Linked DNA regions of Caenorhabditis elegans. The protein of the gene in region 3 interacts with the protein of the main gene of each other region in a pairwise test. Each region holds a gene or a part of one and is shown on either strand. Other genes may lie near its edges.

What was found. Proteins that work in one complex are often made in the same cells at the same time.
Region 1: the proteins of lin-10 (region 3) and nhr-6 interact in a two-hybrid assay, tested with the Caenorhabditis elegans proteins (one large-scale study listed by BioGRID).
Region 2: the proteins of lin-10 (region 3) and F35H12.5 interact in a two-hybrid assay, tested with the Caenorhabditis elegans proteins (one large-scale study listed by BioGRID).

Annotation. Positions count from the first base shown.
Region 1 is NC_003281.10:3,571,923-3,579,271, reverse strand, and holds nhr-6 (Nuclear hormone receptor family member nhr-6), read right to left. Parts: upstream 5,692-7,349; 5' UTR 5,574-5,691; coding exon 5,532-5,573; intron 5,422-5,531; exon of another isoform or gene 5,415-5,421; coding exon 5,349-5,414; intron 5,125-5,348; coding exon 5,022-5,124; intron 4,979-5,021; coding exon 4,896-4,978; intron 3,081-4,895; coding exon 3,003-3,080; intron 2,956-3,002; coding exon 2,804-2,955; intron 2,664-2,803; coding exon 2,469-2,663; intron 2,403-2,468; coding exon 2,113-2,402; intron 2,068-2,112; coding exon 1,910-2,067; intron 1,863-1,909; coding exon 1,502-1,862; intron 1,425-1,501; coding exon 1,303-1,424; intron 1,092-1,302; coding exon 882-1,091; 3' UTR 501-881; downstream 1-500. Other genes in the region: C48D5.3 (TIL domain-containing protein), read left to right, coding at 248-390. UniProt on the Caenorhabditis elegans protein: Transcriptional activator that induces gene expression by binding to the NGFI-B response element (NBRE) 5'-AAAGGTCA-3'. Required for proper morphogenesis of the spermatheca and the spermatheca-uterine valve formation.
Region 2 is NC_003284.9:916,669-920,677, forward strand, and holds F35H12.5 (uncharacterized protein), read left to right. Parts: upstream 1-1,728; coding exon 1,729-1,776; intron 1,777-1,925; coding exon 1,926-2,063; intron 2,064-2,117; coding exon 2,118-2,423; intron 2,424-2,465; coding exon 2,466-2,545; intron 2,546-2,854; coding exon 2,855-2,940; intron 2,941-2,987; coding exon 2,988-3,403; 3' UTR 3,404-3,509; downstream 3,510-4,009. Other genes in the region: Presenilin sel-12, read left to right, coding at 1-34, 80-399, 461-544, 594-800, 1,223-1,491; pifk-1B (Phosphatidylinositol 4-kinase beta), read right to left, coding at 3,639-3,823.
Region 3 is NC_003279.8:8,116,017-8,121,494, forward strand, and holds the start of lin-10 (Protein lin-10), read right to left. Parts: upstream 3,299-5,478; 5' UTR 3,298-3,298; coding exon 3,147-3,297; intron 2,502-3,146; coding exon 2,263-2,501; intron 1,664-2,262; coding exon 1,574-1,663; intron 1,366-1,573; coding exon 1,314-1,365; intron 851-1,313; coding exon 627-850; intron 1-626. UniProt on the Caenorhabditis elegans protein: Required specifically for the determination of 3 vulval precursor cell fates P5.p, P6.p and P7.p during late second and early third larval stages; required for basolateral localization of receptor tyrosine kinase let-23.

The DNA of each region.
Region 1 (7,349 bases), on a different chromosome or scaffold from region 3:
AGAACAGTTTGAGGCGAACCCTAACATTTTGAAAACTTTAATATTAAAAGGAAATAATGTCCCGATTGTTCTTGCACGGACGTTTCGCGGGTTCCGCGGTTCAACCAAGTTCAGCACAGTCCAGAACAGAAACTTTGCGCGTAAATTATGATACAGTAGGTCAATGCCCCTTAAAACGTGTGACGTCACACACTTCTATTTGAGGGGACACATGCCTTCTTCACTTCGAAAAACCTTCAAATTTCAGGGAAGAAGTGCCCAGACTTTGCTCATCCGGAGCCCATCATTGACGACCGTGGATTCAGCCGCTGCGAGCTGAAAACCGATCTGAAAACCGCGTTCCAGTACATGAGACGTAACAAACGACAAATGCGAAATAATTTTTGTTAAGCTTCAGACCTTTTTCTCCAGGAATTGCTCTCTAAACTTCAGTATACCCCTTCCCCACAGTATTCTTGTCCCTCTCTCTCCGGTGCTTTGTAATAAAATGAAACAATGTAAAAATATATAATTTATGGTTTTCTTTTTCTATACAATAATTTCAAGAAATATCAGTTAAAATAAATAAACTCTGAAAATTGAAACAAAACAAAATTGATATTCGGGGATTGGAATTCACACAAAAACTAGAGGCTTTTCATAAAATAAAAACCGAATGGGGGGACAAATTCTGAGAGATTTGAGGTTCAAGGAGCAAAAATTGTTGGGAAAGTACCGGTAACAAGTTATTTGAAATTTTTCTGGAAGTGATTTTTTGTTTGAGACAGTAGTGGGGAAACAAAATAAATTAGAAATCTTTGCGATATGCAATTCAATGGGGCTAGCGATTTTGAAAAATATATTAATTTTAAATTTTTAAAATTTTAAACATTTAAAAAATTTTAAAAGGCAGCCGGGCCCATTTGGAAGTTAAAAAGTGAACTTCCAGATGGGGCAACTGGGCTTCCACAAGCTGGCGGTGCATCCGTAGATCGTAATGGAGCACGTGTAAGATTGATAAGGAACATGAACTCTTCTGGAAGCTGGTGTGATGGATAGAGAATGTCCAGGGCCTGGAGTCCAAGAGCATGGAATACATCGAATTCTTGGGTCTGAAAATTGAATAGTTAGTGTTATACTAGACATCCTACTTGCATGTCAGTCTGGAATACTTGCTCTCAGTGCAACCCTCAATAAAAAATAAAAATTTTGCTTCCTGGCAGACATGGATTAGCATTAGAAGCGTGCAAATTTTGCCCTCAAAGCGTGTTACAAGGCTTCCCCGCTAGATTCTACGTCACACGTTGAAAATGACAAACTTACCAATCTAACGATCTTGGCCAATTTGTTCTGAGATCCGCTGCAATGATCCTTGAGAGCATTGATGATGGTACTTTGAACCTGGTCGACGAGAGGTTTGTTGGTCAATCCAAGTACGTTATGTTCTGAAAAAATTTTGAAATTATGAAATGAGGAGTAGATAAACTTTGCTGAAGCTTTTTAGGGTTTAAATTCTACACACCTGTGTTTCCAGCCAAAAATTGAAGAGCAATAAAGGCGGCGAATGCCTGAGGCTCCCAGTCAACCAATGAGCTGAAGGTTCGTGCTTTGTCAACCATGAATCGAATGATTTGTTGGAAGCAGGCAGGGAACGCGTTCAACGAGAAAAGCTCTCCAGACTCGAACATAATTGTGTCGGTGCTGTTGCCACATCGGTTTGCCACGCGGATTGCCATGATTGCGAAGAAAGATCTGCTGAGGAGGATCTGGAAGTCGGCTGGCTGAATCTCGGAAATTTGTGGCATTGCCATGAGAAGCTTCTTGGTGGCATGAAGCTCTCCGTGCAGGATTCTCAGTGCGATAGTCTCATCGAATGGTTGCATCTAAATGATAAACATTTTCCAAAAGAAATGCTAAATTTCCGACTTACAAATTGCCGGACAACAGTCATATTTGTATGATCTTCAATTGCTTTTCCCATCAAAGCTAGAAGAGGAAGCGGTGGAGATGGTTGATCCTCTGATCTTGCCAACTTCGTCTTTGACGACAAACGTCCACGTCTCCCCGATAGAGAACCATGTCGAACAACTGAAATATCACAAATAATGAACATTTCCCAAAGGGTACACCTACTTTCTTTGACCATGCCGACTTCCAAACACTTTTGATAGCGACAGTACTGGCACCGACTACGGTATCGCTTGTCGATTGGGCAGGTCTTGTTACCAGCGCAAGTGTATTTGGAGTTCTTCTGCACAGTTCGCTTGAAGAATCCTTTGCATCCTTCGCAAGTTCTGGCTCCATAGTGCAGGCAAACAGCTCGATCATTGCACACAGCGCACATTTTGTCAGCGTCAAGAGCTGTTTCCGATGGGACACCGAATGAGGTTGGTGTGGAGAGGTTGTCGGGGTTGAGGAAGGATCTGAAAGTTTTCTTTTTTTTTTAATTTCAAATTTAAAATATCAAATTTCAAATTTCAAAAACGAACCTTAAGAAGCCTTGCAACTGCGGGGGTGACGTTGGCAGAGAGCTTGAATGAGGCGATGGTGTTCCGCCGGTATTGTTCGACGAGCTCGTTGTCCCCTGACTTCCACGCCTGGAATCCGATACCGGAAAGTGTTGAGGATAGAATGGAGATGTGAATGAAGGCATCAAGGGATTCGGCATGAAATCATTCGAAAGTCTGTAAGAAGAAACAATAGAAATCCTCTCGTGGAAGCACCAGCTTATGCTCTCAATGGAGGTTAATCCTCGGCTCGATGTACTACGTAGAAAACACGAAGCAAAAGTAATTCACACGTGGTTATCTGTGACGACACTTACGCGAATGGATTGTAATGCGGTGCGGCGGTTGCCAGGAAAAGATCGTTGTGTGGCATTTGAAATGCTTGCATAGTTGGGTCAAGTTCACTTTTGATATGGGTGATTGAGGCGTTCATTTCGGATGGTAAACGGTGACTGGAGGAGGATGGTTTCTGAAATTATTAAAAGTTTATAATTGTGTGCAGAATGAAGCTCTTACCTGCTCGAATTCTTCGGGGATACTCTCGACTTCGGTTTTCGTGGGCTTTGGTACAGTGTTCACCTGATCGCTTGTCTCCTGCAAACTTTCAATTTCAGACTTTATAAAGCCCATAAGTCCGCTAAGATCATCTCCGAGCCTGACCACAGGCTTGTCAATTTTGCTAGCTGTCCGTTTGCTCATCATAACTGTAGGGTGCAGGGGGGAAGTAAGTATGAATATATGAAAAGTGCGCTTCTATCAAACAGCTGATTAGGCGGCTGCCCAGGAAAATTTCAAGGGGCGGAGTCCAGAGCCCTGAGCATTAGCTGCGACAAAAGAGCATACACGAGGAATTATGTCAGTCCACGCCCCGAGACCACCTAAGAGTGATGACGACGTCGCTGACAGAAGCCAAAAAAGAATGAGAGGTGACACTTTGAGGATATAATAGAAACAGGTTTCCCAGAGAGACCATCAAATCAAAATCGAAAGTAAAGAGTTTTCGAGATGGATGAAAGGAAGAAGAAAGACGACAAATTGCGGGGTGTTTCATGCCAAATTTTGGTGTGGACACAGAGGACTGAAGGGGGAGCCAAATGGCACGTGTATCTATCAATTAGCCGGATGATAGTGGGTGTATGTGTTTGAGCAAAACTGAAGGTTAAGCCAGCATTTAAATATTTTTCGGGTTTTCGGACTGTTTATGTGAGGAAGTTAAGAGTTTTTTTGGAGCAGAAAACAAGAAAAGAGCTATGAGAGCTAAACTTTTTGTACTCTTCTCTGGTCTAAAATGACGCAGAGCCTGTGGGCTGAAAATATTTGTTGTAGTCCTCGAAAAATTACCGCCTACATGGCTAAGCAAACTAGAAATAAAGAAATTATCTCGAGAGCTCCAAAAACGTTCTAAAGCCTTAAAAATGCAGGGCGATTTTATTGAGAAATGCTAAAAATGGGTCAAAAATATCAAAAATCATACTTGTTGAAAAGGCCATTTTCGAGCATTTTTTCCAATGGTTCAAGTGGGCAAAATCTGATTTTCAGATAAATCAATATGCATATATTCCTGATTTTGACAGTAATTTTCAATGAAAAGTTGGGTCTAAATTCAGAAACTCGGAGCCATTTTTGTGGGGGGCTACTCTAGTTTTTTTTTTGGGATTTTTGATACATTTTTTTACATTTCTAGACTCTCATAAATTTTGAGCAGTGGGAAAAATTAGAATTTTTTTAAAAAGTTTCTAGAATTCAAATTTTTTAGAGGTTGAAACATTGATTTTGAGTGAAAAAAAATAGTCGACTTCCAAAAACTTCTAAACAACTTGCCAAATTTTCTAAAATGGTCTACTTTTTACAGTAGCCAAAAAAGAAAGCAGCAACATCAAAAGAAACACTACTAATAAATGAATGACATTTTGGTACAAGTGACTTGTTAGCATTAGGGGTCCCACCCCTGCTGCTACTGTCTCTATGACTAATGGCAAATACCATTGCGCCAACACCCAAAAAAAAAGAAAGAGAAAGACTACTACTAGTTGGGTGGAAAAGTTGTAGAATGAATTTGAAACGAGAAATATTTCTCTCCAACCAACACCACTCGTGGCTCTCTCTACAAGTGATCTCACCTATCCAATTATCTTTCTAATAAGCGGGCACGAAATGTGTTGGGAAAGTGCAGGGTGATTCGACAGGAAACAATGACTGTGTTGAGAGGGGATGCCAAGTTTGAAATGAAGTGGGAAACGAGGAGTCGGGTGATATTATTCACATGTTCCCACTCACACCTTTTTTTACCGCCGGAAAAAAGTTCAAAAAAATTATAGCTCAGAAAAGGATTATACCAATTTTCTCCCACAGATTTGAAAAAAAAGGTTTCATGGGAATCTTAAAAAAGTTCTTGGAAAAAGAGCTCACCACAAGAGAATGGAAAAGGCTGTCGAGGTCGGCATCGGTGGTTTTGGAGCCTTTGCGAGACGAGGAAGATGGTCCAAACTCTCCTGAAACCAATAATTAGGAAGAAATGGAAATTTTGTGAATTACCGTAGTCGAATGATGAGGAGCACGAAGAGTTTTTCGACATCTCGCGGAAGAAGTCCCTTCGCAGAGGTTCTTCGTTACGCACGAGGCGTGTGTAGATTTCGATCTTAAAAAATAAAATTTAAATTAAAGTTTTTGCCAGATTTTGTAATATCTCATTTTCCGTTGTTTCTGGGCACATGATTTTTGAGTTTTCTGTTTTTTTGGGATTGTGCAATTTTTGTATTTTTTTTTCTATAATTCTTAAGCCCAAGCCTAATCCTAAGCCGAATCCTAAGCATAAGCCCAATCTTGTTTAGGCTTCCAGAAGATGAGAATAAGAATACTTACTTCGTCCTCCACGCTGGAGCAGGATGAGTAGCTACTATCGACAGAAGCTGGCGAGCAGTTGGAAAACTGAAAATTTACCACATATAGAATTTACCACATATCTTTTCCACCGAACTTTAACAGTTTTTCTGGTACACCTGCCAGTTCGCCTACTCAAAAAAAAAAAGAAATAGGTTAGGGTACCTGATCTTGCAACTCGTCCGTTTGAATACTAAGTTGTTCCATTCAGTCGGACAGACCGCGCATCCGATTAATGAGCGGTCGATATAAGGAGTTGTAAGATTTGAATGAAGAAAGATGAAGAAGAAGTGAGAGAAGAGCTCTAGTAGTGGTCAATCTGAAAATGTTCAGAATTTTAACGAATTTTCAGATTGGGTGAGTGGGAGAGAGAGAGAGACGATCGGGAATTATATAGTGTCAAACAATTGAGAAGGCGGAGTAGCAGCTCGTGGCGCGTCATCAGAAGCACCTAAAAATGCACATGTGCAGGTGATTTGACACTGTGACAACTGATCGAGCAGCAACACTAAAAAAGTCAACAACATGTGTTCTTGCCCGTCTTGAATGGAATATTCACCTGCCCGCGCCTTGATTATCTACGTAATTTCAGGAAAGGAATTTTGACGACACCACCGGGCCGGCTAAAATTAGAAGTGGTCACTCTAAAAGCAGAATCAGCCTTTTTTTCATTGTTTCCAATTCTGTGAGCTCAGAGTTTAGCGATCGAATCGCTTCGATATACTATGTAGGTCAGCTCTCAAAATCAATGAGGAGATCCCAATGTACAGGTGAGTGGTTACTGTAACAGTTAACTTCTATGCCTGCTGCCGTGCCTACAACTGACCTACGGCTACTGTTATCTGCATTAGGGGAGTTGAAGGCACGCAGGTAGGCATAGGTACTTGCAAACCCATCAGTTAGCATCTATGTCTAGAGCTAATTAATCTCTGAGCTAGTTTGTGACTTCATCACAGGTGCAAGATATTTTGTACGTAGACAATTTAAATCCAAAAATGCATGCAGAGTGGGAAGTGTGAAAAGGTCGGAAAATTGCGTCAGCTGCTGCTCTAGACAATGGAAAAAAAGGAAAAAATAGAAAGTATGTGCACCGGTGAAATTATTTAGTCATTTCAAGGGCATTTTCATGATAAGGAGAGTTGTTCGGTAAATTGGGTGCTACGCAAAAACTAATGCAAAAGTGAAAAATATTTTTTGCATAAATGATCTACAGAAAAATTATCTTTCCGGAACAGTCGGAACAATAAATTTCTACGACTAAATGAGCATTATTATATACCAGAAACCGTAAAGGGAACTTATGATATCACTTCCTCCCGCCCATCTCACGACACATCATAACTGATCTGAACAATGGATCATTTTCCGAAAAACATACAAACCTCCGGGGGGATGTTCTAATTGGTTTGTCTATCTAGTTCTAGCTCCTGTGAGTAACAAGGCGTATCAGAAAACATATTTGGAAAAATATGCTAAATAGTAGGAAGGAAGCTGTAAATTACAAGAAAAACGTACATGTTGAGAAAAAATTTTGCGGTTTGTGGGAGCATTAGGAAATCTTTCGCAATGCACTGTTGCATAAGACTGTAGATAAAATTTGAGTTAGGAAATTTTTTTCGAGGAATCGGTTTTTGAGAGAAATGAGGGGCGTTAATTCTAAAAAATGTCCTATTGCACCAGGTGCAATGAGACCAAAATATTTTGATTTGATTATTTGATTAATTTGAAAATAGCATTTATTTGAGCTAAAACATTTGAATAAATGCTCAAAATAGCCTAGAAGTTGTCAATTGCTAGACAATTCGATAATGGATGAATGGCAATTTCCAGGTTATTTTTGAGAATTTTCTAATATGTTTCAGCTAAAATATTTGTTATTTTCGAATAATCAGGTACATCATTTTCTATAGTTTACACTAATTTTAAACGAAAAAAGTTAGATGGGGCAATTTTGTAGACCTATCCTTTGCTCTCATACTTTTT
Region 2 (4,009 bases), on a different chromosome or scaffold from region 3:
TTCTTCTTTTCCTATTCACTACAATCTATGTGCAGTAAGTTGATATATTACTATTCTCATAAAAATATCAATGTTGCAGAGAAGTTCTGAAAAGTTTCGATGTGTCTCCCAGCGCACTATTGGTTTTGTTTGGACTGGGTAACTATGGAGTTCTCGGAATGATGTGTATACATTGGAAAGGTCCATTGCGTCTGCAACAGTTCTACCTTATTACAATGTCTGCACTAATGGCTCTGGTCTTTATCAAGTACCTACCAGAATGGACTGTGTGGTTTGTGCTGTTTGTTATCTCGGTTTGGGATCTGGTTGCCGTGCTCACACCAAAAGGACCATTGAGATATTTGGTGGAAACTGCACAGGAGAGAAACGAGCCAATTTTCCCGGCGCTGATTTATTCGTGTAAGTTTCCTAATTTATGGAATTAATATTCATGACGTTTCAAATTCTAAAACATTTTCAGCTGGAGTCATCTATCCCTACGTTCTTGTTACTGCAGTTGAAAACACGACAGACCCCCGTGAACCGACGTCGTCAGACTCAAATAGTGAGTATCACCTAAAATTTTCGAATTTTTATTCCAAAACTAATTTCAGCTTCTACAGCTTTTCCTGGAGAGGCGAGTTGTTCATCTGAAACGCCAAAACGGCCAAAAGTGAAACGAATTCCTCAAAAAGTGCAAATCGAATCGAATACTACAGCTTCAACGACACAAAACTCTGGAGTAAGGGTGGAACGGGAGCTAGCTGCTGAGAGACCAACTGTACAAGACGCCAATTTTCACAGGCACGAAGAGGAAGAGAGTGAGTGAAAAACGTGCTGAAAAAGGGCAAAAGGGGATGTATTTTCGCAAATTTTACTCGAACTTTCTCACTTCTAACTCAAATGTTTTTTCTTGACAGCACAAAACGAAAATATTGCCGTCTACGTTCGGTATCGAAATACCCCCTGCAATTTTCATTCGTTTTTTTTTCACTGTTTCAATTTTTCTCAACTTTTGAAGAGCAATGCCGCCCACTCAGCTGAATATATTTTGTTCATTTAAAGTTCAAAACTTTTCAGTTAATAGATTCAAGAAAGATCTCAAATAAACTTGCAAGCTTGCCACTTGCGCTAGTCACGAAAAAAAGGATTTCTTCAATAACCCTCTGTTCATATTTTTTTTAACAATAATTTTTCATCTCTTCATATTTTGATATGTTTTGCAACAAAAAAATGATTGCAGGAGGTGTGAAACTTGGTCTGGGCGACTTCATTTTCTACTCTGTTCTCCTCGGCAAGGCTTCATCGTACTTTGACTGGAACACGACTATCGCTTGTTATGTGGCCATTCTTATCGGTCTCTGCTTCACTCTTGTCCTGCTCGCCGTCTTCAAACGAGCACTCCCGGCTCTGCCAATTTCCATTTTCTCCGGACTCATTTTTTACTTTTGTACCCGCTGGATCATCACCCCATTTGTTACACAAGTCTCTCAAAAGTGTTTATTATATTAATTCTCTGTTTTTGCCATTTCTTTGCATCATCAACTTTTCGATTATATCTTGAGCGATCTCAAAGCTTTATTTTACATACCTATTTATTTTTGAACTTTGTCATTTAAGTTATATAAATAATTTATTAAACGTTTCTGCTATTTTTTTTTCATTATTCTTGATCCTATGCTTACAGGTGCTTCAGATTCCTTTTTTGCTTTAGAAGTATCATCAAAGTGTTTATTTAAAGTATTTCAGATGTTTTCTTCACGTCATATTTTATCAAACGTTCGTCCAATAATAAAGGTAAGTTAAGGTAAGTAGACATATTCAGTTCCAAAGTTGGAAAATTAGTGAAACAACATTTTTTATAAAGTAGTTGAAATACATAGTGAATTTCTTGTTAAATTAAAAATGTAGCAGAAGTTGGGATAAATTAAAAATTTTACTTTCAGAATCTAGACCTGACCAGAGGGTTTTCCGACAGGAAAACAAAATATTTTGACTTGAATGACCTTATCAAAACTGTAAATGTTACCTACAAGACTGGAGTAAACCTGGAGGAAACCACAACTGTCGAGTCAAAATATGTAGTAAGTTTTTTTGTTTTTTTTTTCAAAAAATTAACCTTTAAATTATTGCTTCAGGATGTCACACCTTCATCAAACACAAAAGGAACCGTAGTGACACTATCAGGATCACCTGGTACACATAACGATTTTAAGTACATGAAATCGTTTTTTGAGCAGAAGAAAATTCGCTTAATTTGCACCAACTATCCCGGGTCGGAATTTGTAACGGGTGGCTTGCACAATAGTTATACAAATCAAGATCGAAATTCGTACATGAAAAGTTTAATGGAAACACTGGAGTTGAAAAATGTAAACCGACTTATTATAATGGGACACTCGAGAGGCGGAGAAAATGCACTGCAACTTACAAGTATGTTATCGGTGAGTTGTCTGAAAAGTTTCTTCATAAAACCTTATGTTCAGAATGATGAGAACTGGCCACTGGTTGGGGCAGTGATGATCAACTCGCCAGGGTTCGCTCCGCATAAAGGAATCAGTAAAAGGTATGTACCCGATTTTTTCCTTAGTCTACCTACTGAAAAAACTGCTTGCTGTGGCATCAGCTTCAGTTCATCTACTTTGATTCCTTAGCAAATACTTTTAAAACGATGTTTATATCAATGTGAAAATACAGTAAAGGTTACATTTCGGTTTAATTAAAACAGATATTTTTGGAAAACCAAAGCTGAAATTTTTACAAATCATTTGTAATTTGTATTAGTGGCCACATCCCACGAATGAGCAAATTCAAAACTTGGAAAACTAGCTAAACTAGCTGTTCAAAAATTTAAAGAAATTAACAAGTTTTACAGAATGGGCACTATAAACTTCATTATATCTTTGATCAAACGTCACAACAAAACCATCAACTCAATCCTTCATCCAATTTTGCATTATTGTAAGATCCCCACCCCCTTCCCTCCAAAGATTAATATAATATTTTAGTCTACAACAATCTCATCGGTTTGCGTGTTTCTCATGGAAAAGTAGCAGCCGCTGCAATTCTGCCTATGCAAACTTTTGCCTTTGACGAGCAAAAACTTTCAATTGACGATCTACGTGCAAAACCTGGAATTCGCGCGTTCTATGGTTACGGATCTAAGGATTTTTTAATTGATGAGCATCAATCGGAAGAAGTTGCGATGTACTTTTCTGAAGAAGATCATTATGTAATTTCCAACAAACAAGACGCGGAAAAAGCTATTAAAGAAGCCAGGAAAAGCTTTACAACTGGAAAACAATTTGTCACAGCAAACTTCAAAGAAGAAGGTCACTTTCTGCAGAAGACATATCCCGAGTTTATTGTAGAAGTTGTGGATTCTATTTTTGATGCTGACAAAGAAGTCGATACCAAAATTTAGATGCATGTGTAAATTTAGATCATATAGTTTGATGGATAGAATTATGAATTTCGATTGTTACTCTCTGTGTGCCTTGCCAGCAAGTTGATAAACTGGTACTTTAGAATATGAAAAAGTGATTTTTTTTTAATTGACAACAATTCATTCATGTGCATTCAATTTTCATCACAATAACAAGAATAAGCGATATGAGATTCTTAACCAATTTGAAAGACTAGTAAATACCTAACCGGACTCAATGGATTCCATTTGTGTAATATTGAAACGAGTCGTAAAACCGTGTTGTGTAACTATCCCGAGAACCTTCTACAAGCGTGTCGACGAGTTGTTGGAGCTGCTCGTCAGTGCTGCTTACATGGAATCTAGCTTCTAGAGCTCGAACAGTCTCTGCGCCAGCACGGAAGCATTGCATTTTTGATCCTGAAACTTTTTTAGTTAATTATCAAACAACTGAAAAACCCCCTCTTTACGGAGTTTCGCTAATATTTTGGTTTTTCACAAGCTTAAACCACTGAACAATTTTTCTGCGGCACAGTGATAAAGATTAAACTTTTATTTTGGACTAGTTAAAACCGAATCTTTACTTCACACAGCACTACTGTTTTT
Region 3 (5,478 bases):
ATCAATATTTTAAATTCGGAAAACGAGGATTTTGATGGAAAAAAGTGAGTGGAAAATGGGCCAAAAAATAAGAGAAAGGAAGGAGAAGAAGAAGTGAGTGAGTGCATTTGTGAAATTGGGCAGGAGTCTCCAAAAAAGATTTAGTAGAAAAAGAGAGTTGTAGATAGACAAAAATTAGATTATTTGATTTGTTACGAGGATGTGCAGAAAGAGACAATTGTTCCAAAGGGAAAAATATTCGAATTTTTGTTGGCCTCGATATCTAAAGTTCACAGTTCTAATGGTCTAATGCTTATTGTTTAAAAGTGGTGTAGCGCCAGTGGAAATTTTGCCAAAACATGTAGAAAGGTCTAAAAGAAAAAAGGTCTATCGAAATAAAACAACAGCCAAAAATGTTCAGGTTTTTTCAAAAATTTGTGTCAAAGTTTTGGCATATTCCAAATATTCGAAAACAGTTGTTATTTTTGGGAAAGTTGGAGGTTTCTTGCACATTCTATGCGCATACTATGTGACTCCATAAATTGAGTTTTTCACATTTGGCTTTAGGAACTTTGATCATAGATTTCAGTGAAAAACTTTTTTTTTTCAAGAATTAATTCTCAAAATTCCGAAACCGAACGACATACCGTTTTAATATTTTTATTCTGTGATCGTCGTGTTATCTCTTTTTCCATTTCACTCATTTGTTTTCGAATGAGTGAATCCGTTCGATCACCGGATAATTTCCGCTTTTCTTCACTTTTCTCCTCTCCTCCCGCTGATTCTTGCGAATTTTCAGGAGAATCTGATTTTTCGATGACGTCACCAATTGTCACATCGGATGACGTGGAAGTTGGTACAAGAAGCTCATCTGAAACATATTTAGGTTTGAAAATTGACAATTAGAAAAATGTTCAGGGGAAATCCCTTCAACTTTTCGTGTGGTCTCTAAGTTCCGTCCAGACATGATGGTGGGAGACGTACAACTCCTTTCGGACATGGAACAATTAGTAAATCGGCTGAGCAAAAAGAGAGAGTGTGAGATGATAAGAGACGCAGAGATATCTCTCTTGTCTCTTCTTCTCACCAAAATGTTCTCGTGTTACATGCTCACTTGTGACAAATGAGATACATGCTGGATCTTTTTTGAAGATTTTCTGAAGAACTTTTGGAAAATGCAATTTATTCGAAATTTTTAAAGTTGGAGTTTTACATTCCACTAGACGAAGAAGGAAACTTAATACGTTCTGTGAAAACTGTACGCCAAACGTTTGAGATAATGACTGATCTTCTGGCATTTGGCCTGAATTTCTAAAAGTGAAAAACCAACTAACCATTATTTTGAACAACGCCGCTTGTTTCCGTAGAATCTTCTGCTGGTCTCACCTAAAAATTAAAGACTGAGTTTGATTTCTAAACTAGAAGTATATTTTAATGAACATTTTTTAAAATTTTATCTTTTAAATTCCCGAACCACATTTATTTATTTTAGAGCTACAGGAAGAACATGAAGAAGCTCCCCAAGTCATCACTTCGCCTAATTTCCAGCGTTTTGCTTGTGAGTTCAAGTGTTTGGGCTCTGCCGTAAACGAACCTCTCGATGATTTGGTGACACATTAGAGGACACAACACTGCCAGCTGTCTGCCTTCCGTTATCGTCTTCTGAGCGATGAGATGATGATGCCTGAGAATACTTGAAGGTTATGAAGTGCAGATGAGAATTTTGGGAGCCATAAATGCATTGCTTTTGGTAATATATTTCTAGATCTATTTCAATGTCTAGAAATATCAAATACTGTTCTGCATCAATGCAGAAGCATAACTTTGTAATAAGAATTTGTGAACTTCTTGTGAGCTTGACTAGGTTACATCAAAATTAGAATTTCTAGCCGGCAGAGAGTGACGGAGGCGCCTCTCACACGCCTCGAGCGGGTGTCAGCCATGCATCATCAAACATCCAATAAGCATGTAATGTCTTAGGTTATTATATTGTGGCAAATTCGCCAAATCAGAAAATTATATGGTTTTTCCAGTTCACATGTTTTTATTGTGAATAAAACAATTTCGAGAGCTCTAAAAATAGTTCTTTCTGCAAAAATAAATTTCGCAACTTTTCTAGTTGTACAACAATGTTCCAAAATTGCGAAACATACATTTTCTGATGACTAATGTCATTTCCTTCATTTTTTTAAAGCTTATCAACCCCAGTTTTAAAAACTGCTTCTAATGAAAAATTGACAGTGTTTCAATTGTTTTTGTAAAATAACGCTTTATAAAACAAACCTGAGAAGAAGGTCTTGGCTGTTGAAGAGCCGGCTGAAATTGCATGGGAAACGGAATCGGAAACTGTGCTCCACTCGCGGCCATCATTTGTTGAAAATAATGATGCATGACTTCCTGATATTGAGCTGGAGAGAATACCATCTGAGGTTGAGCTTCACCCTCCTGAGCAGGAGCACCCGCTGTTGGAATATACGGATTCAAGAAGGGATTTGCGAAAAAATGACCAGGAGGGATCATTTCTGTAAAAAATCGAATATATTGAAGAACAAGCTTTTCCTATTTTAATTGTGTTAAGTAAGCAAATATAAATAACCAATGTCATACATTTTCATTCTGTGCACAGAAGTTTCCTAGTGCAATATATTTAAAATATTTTCTTATACTTCCGTGTAAAATAGATTTTTGTAGGGAAGGCAACATGAAAGACGTCCAGCCATATGAATAATAGCCTATTTTTGTGGTCAGGCGGCGGCGGGGAAAAATAAGAAGAAGAGGAGAAGACAGGGAATTTTTAATCGAGAAGGTTCGAAAAACAATAATATCCCCTCTATTTTTTCTTATTCTTCGAGTGAAAATATTTGAGGAAAGGTTGACCAAAACGAAGGAGCAATTCCTTACGAAAAGTTAATATAGTCTTACTAGGGCTGGCAAATCAGACTGAACCTATCTGGATTTCAGAGCCTTTTTTCTGTGTTATTGTGTTTTTTTCATATTTTTTTTAACTGATTTGATTTTGTCTTGCTTTTTCAAATATCTAAACATCAGATTTTTGAAGATCCGGGAATATTTAAACACACCATCTAAATTTGAAAAATGACACTCAAAAAACTTGAAGTCTGGTATATTTGTTTACACTTTAATTCAAAATCTCTTGTAAAACTAACGAAATGGGACTTGTTGTTGCTCTCCTCCCCCACCACCACCGGCTCCACCCCCTTTGCTCGGCGGAGGAGTAGGCGTGGCCGATGATGTGGGGACCCCGTGTTCAGGAGACGTCGTGGCGGCTGTGGCTTGTGCTACTGCTTCAGATGACATCCTGCAACAGAATTGTTCATGGTCCGATGGAAAATAGATAGGAAGATGAGGGAAAGAGAGAGGAAGCGGGAAAAGGACATGGATTATTGGATGCTCTTCTCTCGTCTCACACGCGAATTAATTAGAGCGATGAAGAAGAGGGACAAGAGAGAAGCAGACAGAGAGAGAGTTAACGTGGGAAAATTTAGAATTAACAATTGTCACCTCGAAGTTATAAGTTAAATTTTTTCCTAAAATGAGAAAATGGGAGATGCTCAAAAAGTTTTAAGATCGTGTTCGGAAGTACTGTAACACAACATGGAGTTCGAATCTACACAGACTTACAATTATGTAGTAAAAAATCTACATATCTACATATCTACATATCTAAAAATCTACATATTTTCACTCGGGAATCGCTCGCCCACTATGGGGGAGTCTACGCAAGGACAACGCAAGGACAAGGACAACATTCTAATGGAATGGAAACAATTGCCCGACTGCACCAATTCTAGTACAAGCGAACAATGATAACTTTTGTATTCTGTATTCCTTCACGTCTCCCAGCGAGCGTAATAAATTATTATTATTATTATATCTAAATAAAATACTTTCAAATGAAAATGTTGGTAAATTGCCAATTAAAAAAATTGGAGTTTTTCATTAATTTAGAGCAATGCTGCAAATGCGAAGACCTAGGTTCTAGGTTCACTTGTAAATAATTGAAGCGAACTTAAAATTAAACAATGTATTGGACCAATTATGATAGGTGGAAACTGATTAATTGCTATTAATGTAAATATAACATTTTCAAAAAATGTTGGAAAGTGTTAGAATGATATTTTCATCATGGGTGCACTATAGGTGTAGTTTTTAACATTTTTCCCACTGGAGCATAAGAAAAAAGAACAACAAGCGGAGACTGATCGTGAAACAAAATATACATTGAGGAAACCAAAAAATGCAGTGTAAGGAGTTCCCGAAGCAATATGTCGTGCCATGTATGCACGTCTTCTGAATGCCAATTCATTTGTCATGTTTCTTCGACACTCTAATCCCTACTTTCTCAGCCAAATATATGACACGTGTCGTTTTCTTTTTTTGCTGTTTCTTTTATGCCGTGCTTGCTAATCTCCAAAATATCGAGTGCTTTTTGGACTTTTGAGGGCGTTTGAAAAATATGTTTAACCAAACAATTGTATTAATGTAAGCCGCTAACTAAATGACTTTCAATTGACAATTTTCCAATTGTCGCTTTAGATGTTGAAAACGAATTTTTTCCAGATGTTGAAAATAAAGATAACTTCTTGTATTTTAGGACAAGTTCTAAAAATGTGAAAATATAACTGCATTGTGATAGAATTCCGCAAAGTATTTCTAATTTTTGACCTAAGCCATGGGAATCGTGAATGATCAACTAAATTCTTGGAAATAAATGAAAACATTAGAACAGTAAAAAGTTGAAGCTTTAAAACCTATTCGAGACGTTTCTCATTCGAGCAGCGCGGGGTTGAGAAAAATAGGGAAGAGGCGAGAGAAAAAGTGTCATAATTATGCTAATTCTGCTCTTTTCCATCGTTTTCCTTCACTCTCTCTTTCCATCCAACTCTTTTCCAGGGCACAGACAAAAAAGTATCAAAAACGGAAAGAATACACCAGATGACGGGATGAATGGGAATTTGTGATGGACGAATGGACAATACAAAACTGGTAGATGAACGAGAGAGTATATAAAGATGGAAAAAAGTGTGAATAATTTCACGTTTACTGTTATTGCGGAATAGATGGCAAAAAAGTAAACTTTTCAATTTTGAGATTAGAGTTCAAGCCGAAAATTCCGTTCAAAGTTAGTTCAAAGTTAAAAAATGTTGAGAAGTTTGGCACTACTCTACGTTTAACTTTCAAATATTTTGAATTAATAACTGTATTCGTTTCTCAATTACTCATCAAAATTTAAAACTATTTCAATCGCCTCAACAATATCCCATACTAATCCTTTTCGTTCATCTTTTCCTCTTACATGAGTCACCAGAAAGACGTCAATTTATCAGCTTTTTCTCTCTACATTCTCTAATTTATTGCAATTTCTTTTTTGTGATTTTGTCAGATAGTGTCATTTGAAAAAGTGCACAAGCTTGCACTCATGGTCTTTGGAATGCTTGAAACTCATCGGAATTTAATTGAAATTTCAGTGCTCAGTGA